4 linked regions of the Saccharomyces cerevisiae S288C genome follow. The main gene of each other region encodes a partner of the protein of the gene in region 2 in a complex. Each region holds a gene or a part of one and is shown on either strand. Other genes may lie near its edges. The genes, in order: MRPL33, MRX14, MRPL11 and MRPL31.

Region 1 (2,542 bases), on a different chromosome or scaffold from region 2:
ACTTGCATATTCTCCAACATGTGGTTGTCCATGCTTTGTCATTTCATTACCGGGCGGCATTCTCAAAAAACCTCTGCATTTAACTTTATTTTCTTTTTCAAAATCGCCAAGGGTTTCCACTTCCTGACAATTACTTTGTGGGTCCCATTTCTTTACATAAAATAGATAGTCTAATAAACCACGCCAAGTGTTTGCCCAATTTGAAATTTCAGGCTCACCTCTATCATTATCAAGACCTGCATTTTCTGGATGAACATTCTTATACCCAACAGAGTATAGTGAAATAGCCCTCATATCCAATGAGTTATGGAGTTGTGCCATTTTATCTACGAGTTCAGACTGTTCTTCATTAGCATGAAATTTTTCAGGAACGGGGCTCTCAGGTTGATCTTTACCATATTTTTCAATATTCCCGCCTTCTTCGTCATCTGCACCTTCTTCGCCATCACGGACCTTGGAAAACTTATATGAAGTGCTGCACCCAATGACGGTCTTTGCCCTGTTTCTATAGTGCACTGGTTTGGATGTCATAGATAAATATGGTGTGTCGAACGGCTGGGAATTAAAATCACCACAGAAAAAAGGAAACCAATGAGATAAATCCCCATCATTTTCGTTCTGTAAAACATTCACACGATGCATGAATTCCTTCATCTTTTTTAAAACAATATAGCATTGTCTTGTTCGTTCATAAGTACCAAATGGATGCCAAAATAGATGCGTAGTGCCGATCAAGATACCGCATTTTTTAGACGATTTTTTACCCAAATTCGACAGTACTTTCTCAGAAAACTTCAAGGCTAAGACTAATCCCACGTTGTTTGTCGTTGTTCTAGTGGAAATGCTTTCTGAACTTTCTTTATCATAGTCGATTAGCATTTTGTCAACCTGGTGAAATAATTCTCTCCTCCACATTATCGCGACACCATGGTTTTTTGTAGCATTTCTATAATATTGTCCATCGTATCCCAATTTACTGAATTCATCTTTCCAAAAGCTTTGAAACTGAATATGATCAATCTCTTGCAAACAAATGACATCGGAATTATAATATTTAAACTCGTTTAAGAGAACTTTAGAACGCCTGTACCATTTTAAAGCGTCACCACTATCCGGGAACAGCTTTCTGCGGATTAGAGCTTGCGCCAAGCAATTATAAGTCATTAGCTTGAATCTAAATCCAGTTACTGGCTCTGCCTCATGTAGAGATAGGAAAGGTCTTCTGATAAAATGCAGCTCTGGCGGGCAGTCCGGATCAACACCTTGAGCCAACATTGCATCTCTTTTAGCCTTTCTCATAACTTCCCTTTCGGCACGAACCTTAGCGATATGTTCTGGGGTCACTATGGGCTTCGATTTTTTACCTTTCTTGCCCTTCTTTTTATGTTGAAGTAACGAATCATCATTGGTTTGATGTTTTGCATCTTTTACAGATTTATTAATTTCTACTTCTTGGTCGGGCGCAACATCTGGGGCAACCACTTTGACTTCTTTGTCTTGTGTCATATTTACTTAATACTCTTAACTACAATTAAGAAGCTATAAGGAGACTACAATCTCATCTTCTTGCAACACTACTTTTCCTTTCCTCTTGCTTTAGTGCAACCATTTTTTGAAAAATGAATGGTCTTTCTGCACGAAATATCTCTCGAAGAGCTTTTCTAGATATTAAGGATAAAGTATATCATCCCAAAAGTTAGGTGATGGAATCAATATTGATGGACCAGCTAAAACACGTTGAAAGCAGATATCAGGAATGGTGTTTTACAAAGTCACGTTGAGTAGGTCGCTTATCGGTGTGCCACACACAACGAAGAGCATTGTCAAAAGTTTGGGTTTAGGTAAAAGAGGGTCCATAGTCTACAAAAAAGTAAACCCGGCCATAGCTGGCTCCCTAGCTAAAGTAAAAGAGTTAGTCAAAGTAGAAGTAACAGAACATGAATTAACACCATCGCAGCAACGAGAGTTGAGAAAGTCAAACCCTGGGTTTATAGTGGAGAAGAGAACCATCGACTGAAACAGCGAAAATAAGGCAACTGGATTTCCTTTCTTCTTGATATTCCTGACTTATATATGTATATAGTATTATTTTTTCCTGCATAGGCACATATGTTAATAGTAATTTATGCAATTTTTGATACAAAGAAATCAATACACTATCTCGATTTCATATTTTATGTATGTATATATTTACAAGAAGAAAATTATGCATGGTCTATTGAATTTTATATTTGGAAAAAGAGTCCCTTTTTATAGCTTTTCCAACTCTAACATTCCTTCTAAACAGTCAATTTTTGAAATTTTACAATTCTTCACGATATCTCCAATCATCGGATAATGCATAGAACTTGGATGCAATTTTAATGTTCCTCTAGCGAACGATAAGTCTGGAAAAACACATCCAGTAAATCCGTTCTGCGGTACTGATGTTACCATTACATCGAAAGTCCTTTCTGGCTCTAGTTTGGTTAGCTTTTTTAAATAATTCAGTGTCCAGTACGTCGACGAATTACGGCTAGCCCTTTTTAAAATATCCGCTCGA
Region 2 (2,561 bases):
GTATGTTATAAAGTATCTGTATATACGTGTATATATGTTGTGTGTATGTGAATGAGCAGTGGATCTAAGTAACTAAGTCCTCTAGTTCTTCAGGATCGAGGCCTTCTTCGCTGTACACTAACTCCATGGTTGGGACGGCGGCAACTTCTTTGAAGTTCTTAGACAGCAGTGGTAACGCTGCACCTTCTTCTTGATTCCGAGTGATGCACTCAGTCTCATCTTTTTCGCCTTCTTCATCAATTTGTTCTAGTGGGAGTAAATCAACTTTATCTGGGGTGTCATCTTCGTCTTCCAAGTCAAGCTTATATGGTGAGTTGAACGTCTTCAGCTTTTCAATATCATCTTGTTGAAATGGGGAATAGCCTTCTGGTACATACGGTAACGGCTCCTGCCTCTGTGGTGCTATTTCGATATCATAGTCATCAGTTTTATCACTTTTATCGTTTTTAGTTTTTTGCTCATTCTTCGTGGAGTTCTTTATGAGTTGTTGCAGACCACCTTGCTCATTAAATAGTCCTAGGCCACCATTTAATTCATTTTCACCGTCGGAGGAATCCTGTTTTAAAAGTGCACTTTGGAGTTTTTTGCCAAGTTTACTCTCGGAATCTTCATTACCTTCATCATCGTCGGAACTCTCTTCATTTTTACCTGAATCTGCAAGATCTTTTAAAACTAGACTTTTCATTTTAGGTAAAGCATTATAACCAAGGACAGAACCGTACTTTTGTAACTTTCTTGAATTGCTTAACAAATCATTATGGTTGGCCCTACTACGACTGCGAGAAATTTGCGAAAGTTTCCTGAGTTGGTCGTTTTTGCGTATAGATAGTGTATTCTGTAGTTGTGGTAAGTCTGCATCTTTACTCTGATTAGAAGTTTCGGGAAAAATAAAGCTTTTCGATCTATTGTTGTCTTTTGCTGCCAGAGGCAATCTTCCTTGTTGTTGCGCATGGGTATGCAACCTTTTTGTGGGTGACACCTCCTTCCCTCCTTGTATGTACTTTAATGTGTTGCCATTGTTGCTGTTCGCATCCCTTTTGAGTTGGTCCAATCTTACAGGTGGTTTTAAAATATTAGAGTGCGACCTTTTCAGCAAGTGAGCCGGCGTCTGTGGAAAGTTAATGCCGGAACTTTCATTCCCTGTATATACGATATTATTCTCTTTATCTTCGTTAGCTGGCATCATAAAGGTTTATTATCTAGCACTTAATCTAGCTTGGTACCGCAGAAGTGTAATAGTATGTGAATGGGAAAAACCGCTAGCAACCGTTACTTGCCTTCGCCGAATATTGATTTAAAGCTGCATTTATTTTGTTTGTTTATTTTGTTTGTTTTTCTTTTTGACCTCTTACACGAGTTTTTTGACGCGTTTGAGATCTTTGTGTGAAAACGATAAGCAACCTACGCTAACAAATACACACGTCGCACGGAAAGTGATAGTGAAGCAGATATTTCTCGCAAATCCTATGTTATCCGTAAAATAAATCCAACCCTAAAGTATTAACATGTAACAACTTAAGCGCTTCCTTAAGACTGTATAGATATATATATATACATATATATACATAATCATGAAACGCATCGTCGAAAGGTCATTTGAAGCTCGGATCACGTGATCGAAAGCTGTAAGGAATTTGAAAAGCCAATTTTCCCGTAGAAGCTGTGAGGTACAACAAGTGAAATAACTACAGGAGAAACTCACTGAGAAACGTTGGAATAGAACAGTAGTAATCGCAGGACGGAATGCCACTATTTGCAAGGCTCTGCCAGCCTCAATCAAGAAGAATGTTTTCATCTATATCTTCTTTCTCTGCTCTATCTGTGTTACGCCCACAAACCGGTATGCTCTTAAACAGTTCACCATTGAAGACTCCGTCCTTCACACCGTTGGGATTTGGCTTAATAGGTCAAAGAAGATGGAAATCAAGGGGTAACACCTATCAACCTAGTACATTGAAACGGAAGAGAACTTTTGGTTTCTTGGCTAGGGCCAAGAGCAAACAGGGCTCTAAGATATTGAAAAGGAGGAAGCTCAAAGGTAGGTGGTTTTTGTCTCATTGAAATTTCACATACTATTCAGATAAATTTGAATACTTCTTGTACATAGGTATCTAATGATTATGCAACATACACTTTCACTATTATTCAAAAATAAAAGAGCAGTTACTTTATTCCACTTTAAAAAGACGGTTACTTTGTATGTACATGATTTTATATAAAAAGAAAGAAAATGCACCAGTATATATATATATACAATTAAAAAAGTCCAACAAGACAAAACTGATTCGCTGATTAAGCAAAATCGATTACAATACCGGGGCCATGTGTGCTTGATAATGTGGTTTTACTCAGTATATTTGGTTTCTTAGATTTTTGATTATCAACAGCAGTTTTAAATGCCGCTCTAGCGGATATAATGTTTTGTAAAATTTCTCGATCAGTGAAGTAGCATTTGCCGACTCCAATGCTGATAGAGTTTCCCCTTTGCCTGAAAGGCATAGATCCTAGACTTTCTTGAAGTAAGGAGCTTATATCATCACTCACCGTACCTTTTTTGACAG
Region 3 (2,920 bases), 580 kb from region 2:
AGATACTGGGTACTCTAACTGGTGATCTGAAAATGGGTTGGAATGCGCCCTTTGACGATAATATCTCTTCTTTGGCAAGTCGATCTTTTGGCCTTCTTGCACCAAAGAACTTTCATTGATCTTTACATGCTTCAACTCCTTACGATTTTCTTCCTTATTTATACGGTATGCGTAACGCTTGGAGCCTGGATCTTGGCTTAGTGGCTTGGCTTTCATCTTAACAATAAACGCTTGAAAATTTTATCCTATGGGAACTGCTGAATCTATACTAATCCAGCTTTTGTGGCGCTTTAATAAAGTGAAATGTCAGAAATATCCTGAAATTTTTTGCTGAAGTCATCACCAAAATTTTTCATTTTTTTTTTTTTTCAACGGTCGCTGAGATATGTAAAAAGGTAAGAAAGGTAAAAGAAAGGTAATTTTGACGTCAATACATAGACTAAAGTATATTTACCGTTATTGCTTCATTGTCTTTTTATTTTTTGATGATGTATGTACATGATTGAATAGTAAAACCTTTATAAAACTTGTCGAATTACGGGCATTTTCTTTTTACTTTGATCCCTTCGATTCTGCATCTGTAGTTGACTCCACATCCTCTTTAGGTTTTTGGTTGTCATTGTGAGATTTTAGTGTTAAATACAATGCATTTGAACTGTTTTCCAACGTACGAACCAAACCCAACCCACTTAGCATTTGCAAAACGCTGACTAACTGCGACTGCATTTCCGGCTTTGTGGGGAGAGTCTTAAAAGTGTTTATTTTTTCCACATTCAAAACTTCGTTTTCTACTTTTGCACCAATCACCATCAGCTTGTCTTGTGCTGACTGCAGAACCTTCAATAGCTTGGCTACTTGTTGAGGGTTGGTGTCTTCGTATGTAATTGTGGCCGTAGGACCCTTCAGTAGTGGCAAGAGTGGATGTTTCCAGTTTTGCTCTTTACGCTTCACGAATCCACATGGGTCGGGCAGATGCGAATTTCTCAAGTAGACTTCGAACAGGTTGTTTCTTACTTTTGTGAGTTTCCCTCCTGTCTGTTTAATCTTGAATCTGAAATGGTGATCTTCTGTTTTGGAAAGATTATTGTAATGGACAAAAAAAATCATAGAACTGTTCTCCATTAAATGCTTGTATGTATCGATGAGAAACGTCTTCCTCGAGTCCAGCGGCTTTACTGTCTTTCTTGAGGGTTGTTCAGAAGCCAGAGCATAAAATCTCTTATGTACTGTACCAATTGTCTCCTTCAAACCAAAAAAACCATTTCTGGGGACCCATCCAGGCATAAACCTTAGCTGCAACATTATTTATAATCACACTCCGCGCCCAAGCACTTCCAATAAGGTCTAAAGCTTTTGTTTTCCTTACTCTTCAATTGTACTAACCTTCTTTCTTTTCTCAGTTTACTGCTATAACTCTACGTTTTTTTCTGTATGAATCTCTACTAAGCCCTAGGGTTATTAGTGTATAAACGTTAGGTTACACTATGAAAAAGACTTGTTTAATAGGTCATATAGTAAAAAGCTTAGGTTAAGTGCCTTCAAGAACGAAACCTAATTTTAAAATTGACGACTAATTATCAAGTGTATTGAAGATGGCTTGAGATGAACCTTAGCACTGGATGCTATGGCTTGTAGAATAAGCAGATATCCCGGTAATTTAATTTGAGTTGCTCAAATTATATACAAGAACGTGGTAGAGACTGGATTTGGAAGCGTCTCTTTTTATGAAGTAGATTTTAACTCCGTTTTCTTTTCATTTCCTTCTATTCTTTTGTACAGAGTGTACCACCACGTTTTAATACTTTGTTTTAATACAGTAGGCAATGGTTAATCAGGGCCAACCGCAACCTAACCTCTATGACAAACACATTAACATGTTTCCACCAGCAAGGGCGCGGGAGTCCTCGCATAAATTGGGAAATGCCAATTCGGATAGGCATGGTTTGCCAGCTCAAAATATAGTGCCTGCACCCTATCCAGTGGATGACTCTATCGTTGAACTCACACCAGCTATTCCTTTTACATCCCCTTCATCTTCCTCATCATTATCGCTGCCTTTGAGTGCGCTGAATTTCACAGACGGGAATGCTGATGGTGGTCAATTAGGCACTCCAGTAACCATAAATAGTAATAACGGCATGGACATTTTTAATTCCAAGCCAACAGGTGAAATAGGATATGCCAATAATGGCACCAACAGTACTGGTAGTAGGTATGAACTTCCTTTCAATTTTAGTTCTACAAAAGAGAGTTTGGGTTCACCAGCTGTACAAGATGCATCAATAAGCAGTGGAAATCGAATATCAGAGTCTGTAAGGGACAACTCAGCGCCACCACCCTATGAGGAATCTGAATCTAGGATACTGCAGGAAAAAGTTTACAGAACCGAGGAAAAAGCTCCAATACGACCTTTGAATAATAATCCTGTTCCACCACAAAAAATCAACCAACCACCCACTGGGAGCGCGAAGACAGACGATAATGGGTCCTCAGGTGGTGAGGACAAACTGTCTTCCTATTCACCAGAGGCATTGGCTTTCTATCAAGTGTACAAGAAGACAATTACTGACTCTTCAAAATTCACCCCCGAGATACAAATGCAATGGTGTGAAACATTACTTACATATGCCTTTAATGAGGATTTCATATCGCAATATAACATAAACGCGGAGAAGCTCAAAAGAAGCTTAAAGCCTGAGGAAATGCTCAAAAACCAGAAAGTCATTTTGGAACATTCATTCAAGGTGCTCACAAAATTGATAACTTTAAAATGGCCACCTGCCATGTATTTAATGGGGACGCTGTATTCACACCAACCCTATTTACCTATAAAGAACAAAAACATCGTTATTAAAAATGATGAAAAGGCGCTGGAATATTATTGTAAAGCTGCGAAATTGAACAATTCAGATGCATGCTA
Region 4 (2,922 bases), on a different chromosome or scaffold from region 2:
GTCTTACCTCTTATGCCTTATTGCGTTTTTCCAAGCATCTGCTCCATATAATAAATGTAACTACCTATCAACCAACTTCCATGTACCTTACCCAATTGGCCTACCAAGTTTTCGTTACATTGTTTCGACATGATATCTAGTTGTTTTGTCGTTTCCTGTAAATTCGTTTGAAGCTCTCTAAGTTCGTGTGCAAGCTGATTATACTGCCTTTGTTTGTTAGCGTTCATTCTCTTGCCTGAAATTCTTTGTGTCCTCTTCGTTTTGAAGTTCAAATGTTCTGATATGTTCTATTTCGCCATTTATCTTGTTGATCTTTCTTCCCACCTTTACAAAAAAATAACGTTGATTTCAATGGGCATGATATAATATGAGCAATACAAAACATCAAAGCCTTCTTAGGAGTGTTACTTTCAAACATGGATCTATAAACAAGTTATTCAATGATTAAACTATATACAGATGAAATTTTTATATCAATAAAACGATCTTTTACGTATCATTCAAAAGAATTTTGGGGCCTTTCTAATGGAAATCTTCGTCCACTTGGGCACCTTATGAATACCCTTCCTATAACCAACAGCTTTTTTATCAAAAGTCCAATATTTATCTTTAGAAGACATTTGATTCTCCTTTGGAAAGACTGATGGTTTGTTTAACAACCTTAACGATTTACTTCTTGGCTTGTATTTCTTTTTGCTCTCCATGGCTTCTTGATAAGTAAGACCTTTATCCTGACATCTTTGGACGTGGAGACCTAAAGTTAATTGCTTTATGACTTGATCAACGTTTCTTAATCTTTCCCTTTGACGGGTTTTTTGATGTGTGGACATTCTCCATGGAATTTTCCATAGTAGGCCACCAGCGACGGGGCTTGTTAATTTGAATGGGCCAAACATTGGAGTCTTATAACTTGGGTAGCCTTTTAAATACGTCTCCTTCCTACAAAGTACGGATATCTTTTTTCCCTCTTTGGCTTCCCTTTGTCCTTTTGTTATACCGTTCTCTTGAACTTTTTGAATGCTCTTGTACTTCTCCGATTATAAAGTTGAAAACGGAGTGCCCTGTATTTATACCTATGATAGTTTAGGAAGATTTAACCATAATTAAAGCCAGAGATACAAAAGTCGAATATCTTCAAGTTATCTGGAACAACTTTCATATATTTGATAAGATGGAGCAAAACAAAGATCCGCAGATGATCTCGAAACATAGTTCTAGGCTACCTATATGGGTGCTAAGTCCTCGCGAAGAACAACAGGCTCGCAAGAACTTGAAGACGGAAACATACAAAAAATGTGCAAATTTTGTTCAAGCAATGGCAGATTGTGCTAAGGCAAATGGAATGAAAGTTTTTCCCACTTGTGATAAGCAACGAGATGAAATGAAATCGTGCCTCCTGTTTTATCAAACAGATGAGAAATATTTAGATGGTGAAAGGGATAAAATTGTTTTAGAAAAAATCAACAAGCTTGAAAAGTTATGTCAAAAACAAAGCTCTACAAAATAAGCTGTGTTGATTGATGTTTTTGATTTACATCTTTTAAGGATTTTTTGATATATCCATTCTTGTACATAAATTATATACACACAGCCCAACAATAAAAAGGAAAAATTAATACGAAGGGTATATATGTATGGTATAATACTTAAGTTCACTACAACGGACGTTTATAGTCAGAATAAATCGAGGAGATCCTGTGACACTATATTGCCGCCCGAAACATCGGGATTGTTTTTACCACCAGAAGATATACCGTTTGAGTCGCCACCTAGTTTCAGCTCCTTCAACCCTTGTACAGCCTTGGTATCATTTGTATTTATTTGTGTGGCATCCTCAGATGGTCCGAAATCAAATAAATCATCCAAATCGCCTAAAGTTGTTAAAGTATTCAGCATTCCTGCATTTGTATTTGTTACATCATCTCTTTCATCAAAATCCAATAGCACATCATCGTTAGCCTTGCTAGAAATTTCATTTTTTGCCATGCTTTCTAATTCCTCTATATGTTTTCCTTTAACTATATTTTGAACATACTTTTTGCCTTTTCTCCTATTTGAGTCGGGCTTGAAATAAATGGAACTTATAGTACCCAATTCCATTAATAGTTTCTCTAGCACTTCTGGTGAAAACTTCTCCAGTGTATTGGAGATCATTGGAAGTTTATTTTGACATAGATCATTAACCAAACTTTCATTATTTGGCATCGAAAGGCATCTCCAATACATCATAGCCATATCTCGCACATCTAATTCATGTGTCTGTTGTGTGGCCAATTCTAGGACGCTTTGTAGCATACTACCCGTTAAAGTAGCATGTAGTCTGACTATTGTCATTAGTAAAGACATCTGTGTTAAAGCTTCCTCTTGAACAAAGTTCTCTATAAAAATATTGATTTTTGACTCCAAATCTGAGAAATTGTTGGGATGCTGTCCTAGCAACCAGACATAGTTGCACTTCGCAATATCTGATTGTAATAACACCTCTGGATTTGACCAAGTATTAAATACTGCACAAACTTGTTTGGCCATCTTATCGTTTCCGGGGCAATGTCTTAATAAATCACATAATGATATACAGCAGTCGTCTTTTATTGTGTCTTGTCTTTCTAACAATTCTAGGAGAATATCCAAGACTTTACTGACGAATGATTCTTGTGCATATTTAATACCCAACTGGGACAAAGCTTGAATAGCTCTTGAAACAAACTCAGGTTCATATTCCATTGCGTATTCCTTTAATTCTGTCAACAACAAAGTACATTGTTTCAAGTTGGAAGGATCGACTAGTCTTACAAGGATATCGATCTTCTCTAACTTGACGTAAAGAGGATCGTTGAACTTGACATAAAATATTCTCAATTCTTTGGTTAACAGCTCTGGATATTTCTCCAATATGATCCTAATATTTTTCAAAGCAACATA

What was found.
Region 1: MRX14 (region 2) and MRPL33 share a complex: the UniProt entries of both Saccharomyces cerevisiae proteins name them as parts of the mitochondrial large ribosomal subunit.
Region 3: MRX14 (region 2) and MRPL11 share a complex: the UniProt entries of both Saccharomyces cerevisiae proteins name them as parts of the mitochondrial large ribosomal subunit.
Region 4: MRX14 (region 2) and MRPL31 share a complex: the UniProt entries of both Saccharomyces cerevisiae proteins name them as parts of the mitochondrial large ribosomal subunit.

Annotation. Positions count from the first base shown.
Region 1 is NC_001145.3:840,186-842,727, forward strand, and holds MRPL33 (mitochondrial 54S ribosomal protein uL30m MRPL33), read left to right. Parts: upstream 1-1,756; coding exon 1,757-2,017; downstream 2,018-2,542. Other genes in the region: NGL2 (RNA exonuclease), read right to left, coding at 1-1,506; DSS1 (exoribonuclease II), read right to left, coding at 2,251-2,542. UniProt on the Saccharomyces cerevisiae protein: Component of the mitochondrial ribosome (mitoribosome), a dedicated translation machinery responsible for the synthesis of mitochondrial genome-encoded proteins, including at least some of the essential transmembrane subunits of the mitochondrial respiratory chain.
Region 2 is NC_001136.10:680,432-682,992, forward strand, and holds MRX14 (mitochondrial 54S ribosomal protein bL34m MRX14), read left to right. Parts: upstream 1-1,743; coding exon 1,744-2,061; downstream 2,062-2,561. Other genes in the region: PDS1 (securin), read right to left, coding at 65-1,186; YDR114C (uncharacterized protein), read right to left, coding at 1,493-1,795; mitochondrial 54S ribosomal protein uL1m MRPL1, read right to left, coding at 2,293-2,561. UniProt on the Saccharomyces cerevisiae protein: Component of the mitochondrial ribosome (mitoribosome), a dedicated translation machinery responsible for the synthesis of mitochondrial genome-encoded proteins, including at least some of the essential transmembrane subunits of the mitochondrial respiratory chain.
Region 3 is NC_001136.10:96,857-99,776, reverse strand, and holds MRPL11 (mitochondrial 54S ribosomal protein uL10m MRPL11), read right to left. Parts: upstream 1,303-2,920; coding exon 553-1,302; downstream 1-552. Other genes in the region: TRM8 (tRNA (guanine46-N7)-methyltransferase), read right to left, coding at 1-216; ACK1 (Ack1p), read left to right, coding at 1,824-2,920. UniProt on the Saccharomyces cerevisiae protein: Component of the mitochondrial ribosome (mitoribosome), a dedicated translation machinery responsible for the synthesis of mitochondrial genome-encoded proteins, including at least some of the essential transmembrane subunits of the mitochondrial respiratory chain.
Region 4 is NC_001143.9:184,786-187,707, forward strand, and holds MRPL31 (mitochondrial 54S ribosomal protein mL60 MRPL31), read right to left. Parts: upstream 897-2,922; coding exon 501-896; downstream 1-500. Other genes in the region: HSK3 (Hsk3p), read right to left, coding at 18-227; CMC1 (Cmc1p), read left to right, coding at 1,172-1,507; APL2 (Apl2p), read right to left, coding at 1,675-2,922. UniProt on the Saccharomyces cerevisiae protein: Component of the mitochondrial ribosome (mitoribosome), a dedicated translation machinery responsible for the synthesis of mitochondrial genome-encoded proteins, including at least some of the essential transmembrane subunits of the mitochondrial respiratory chain.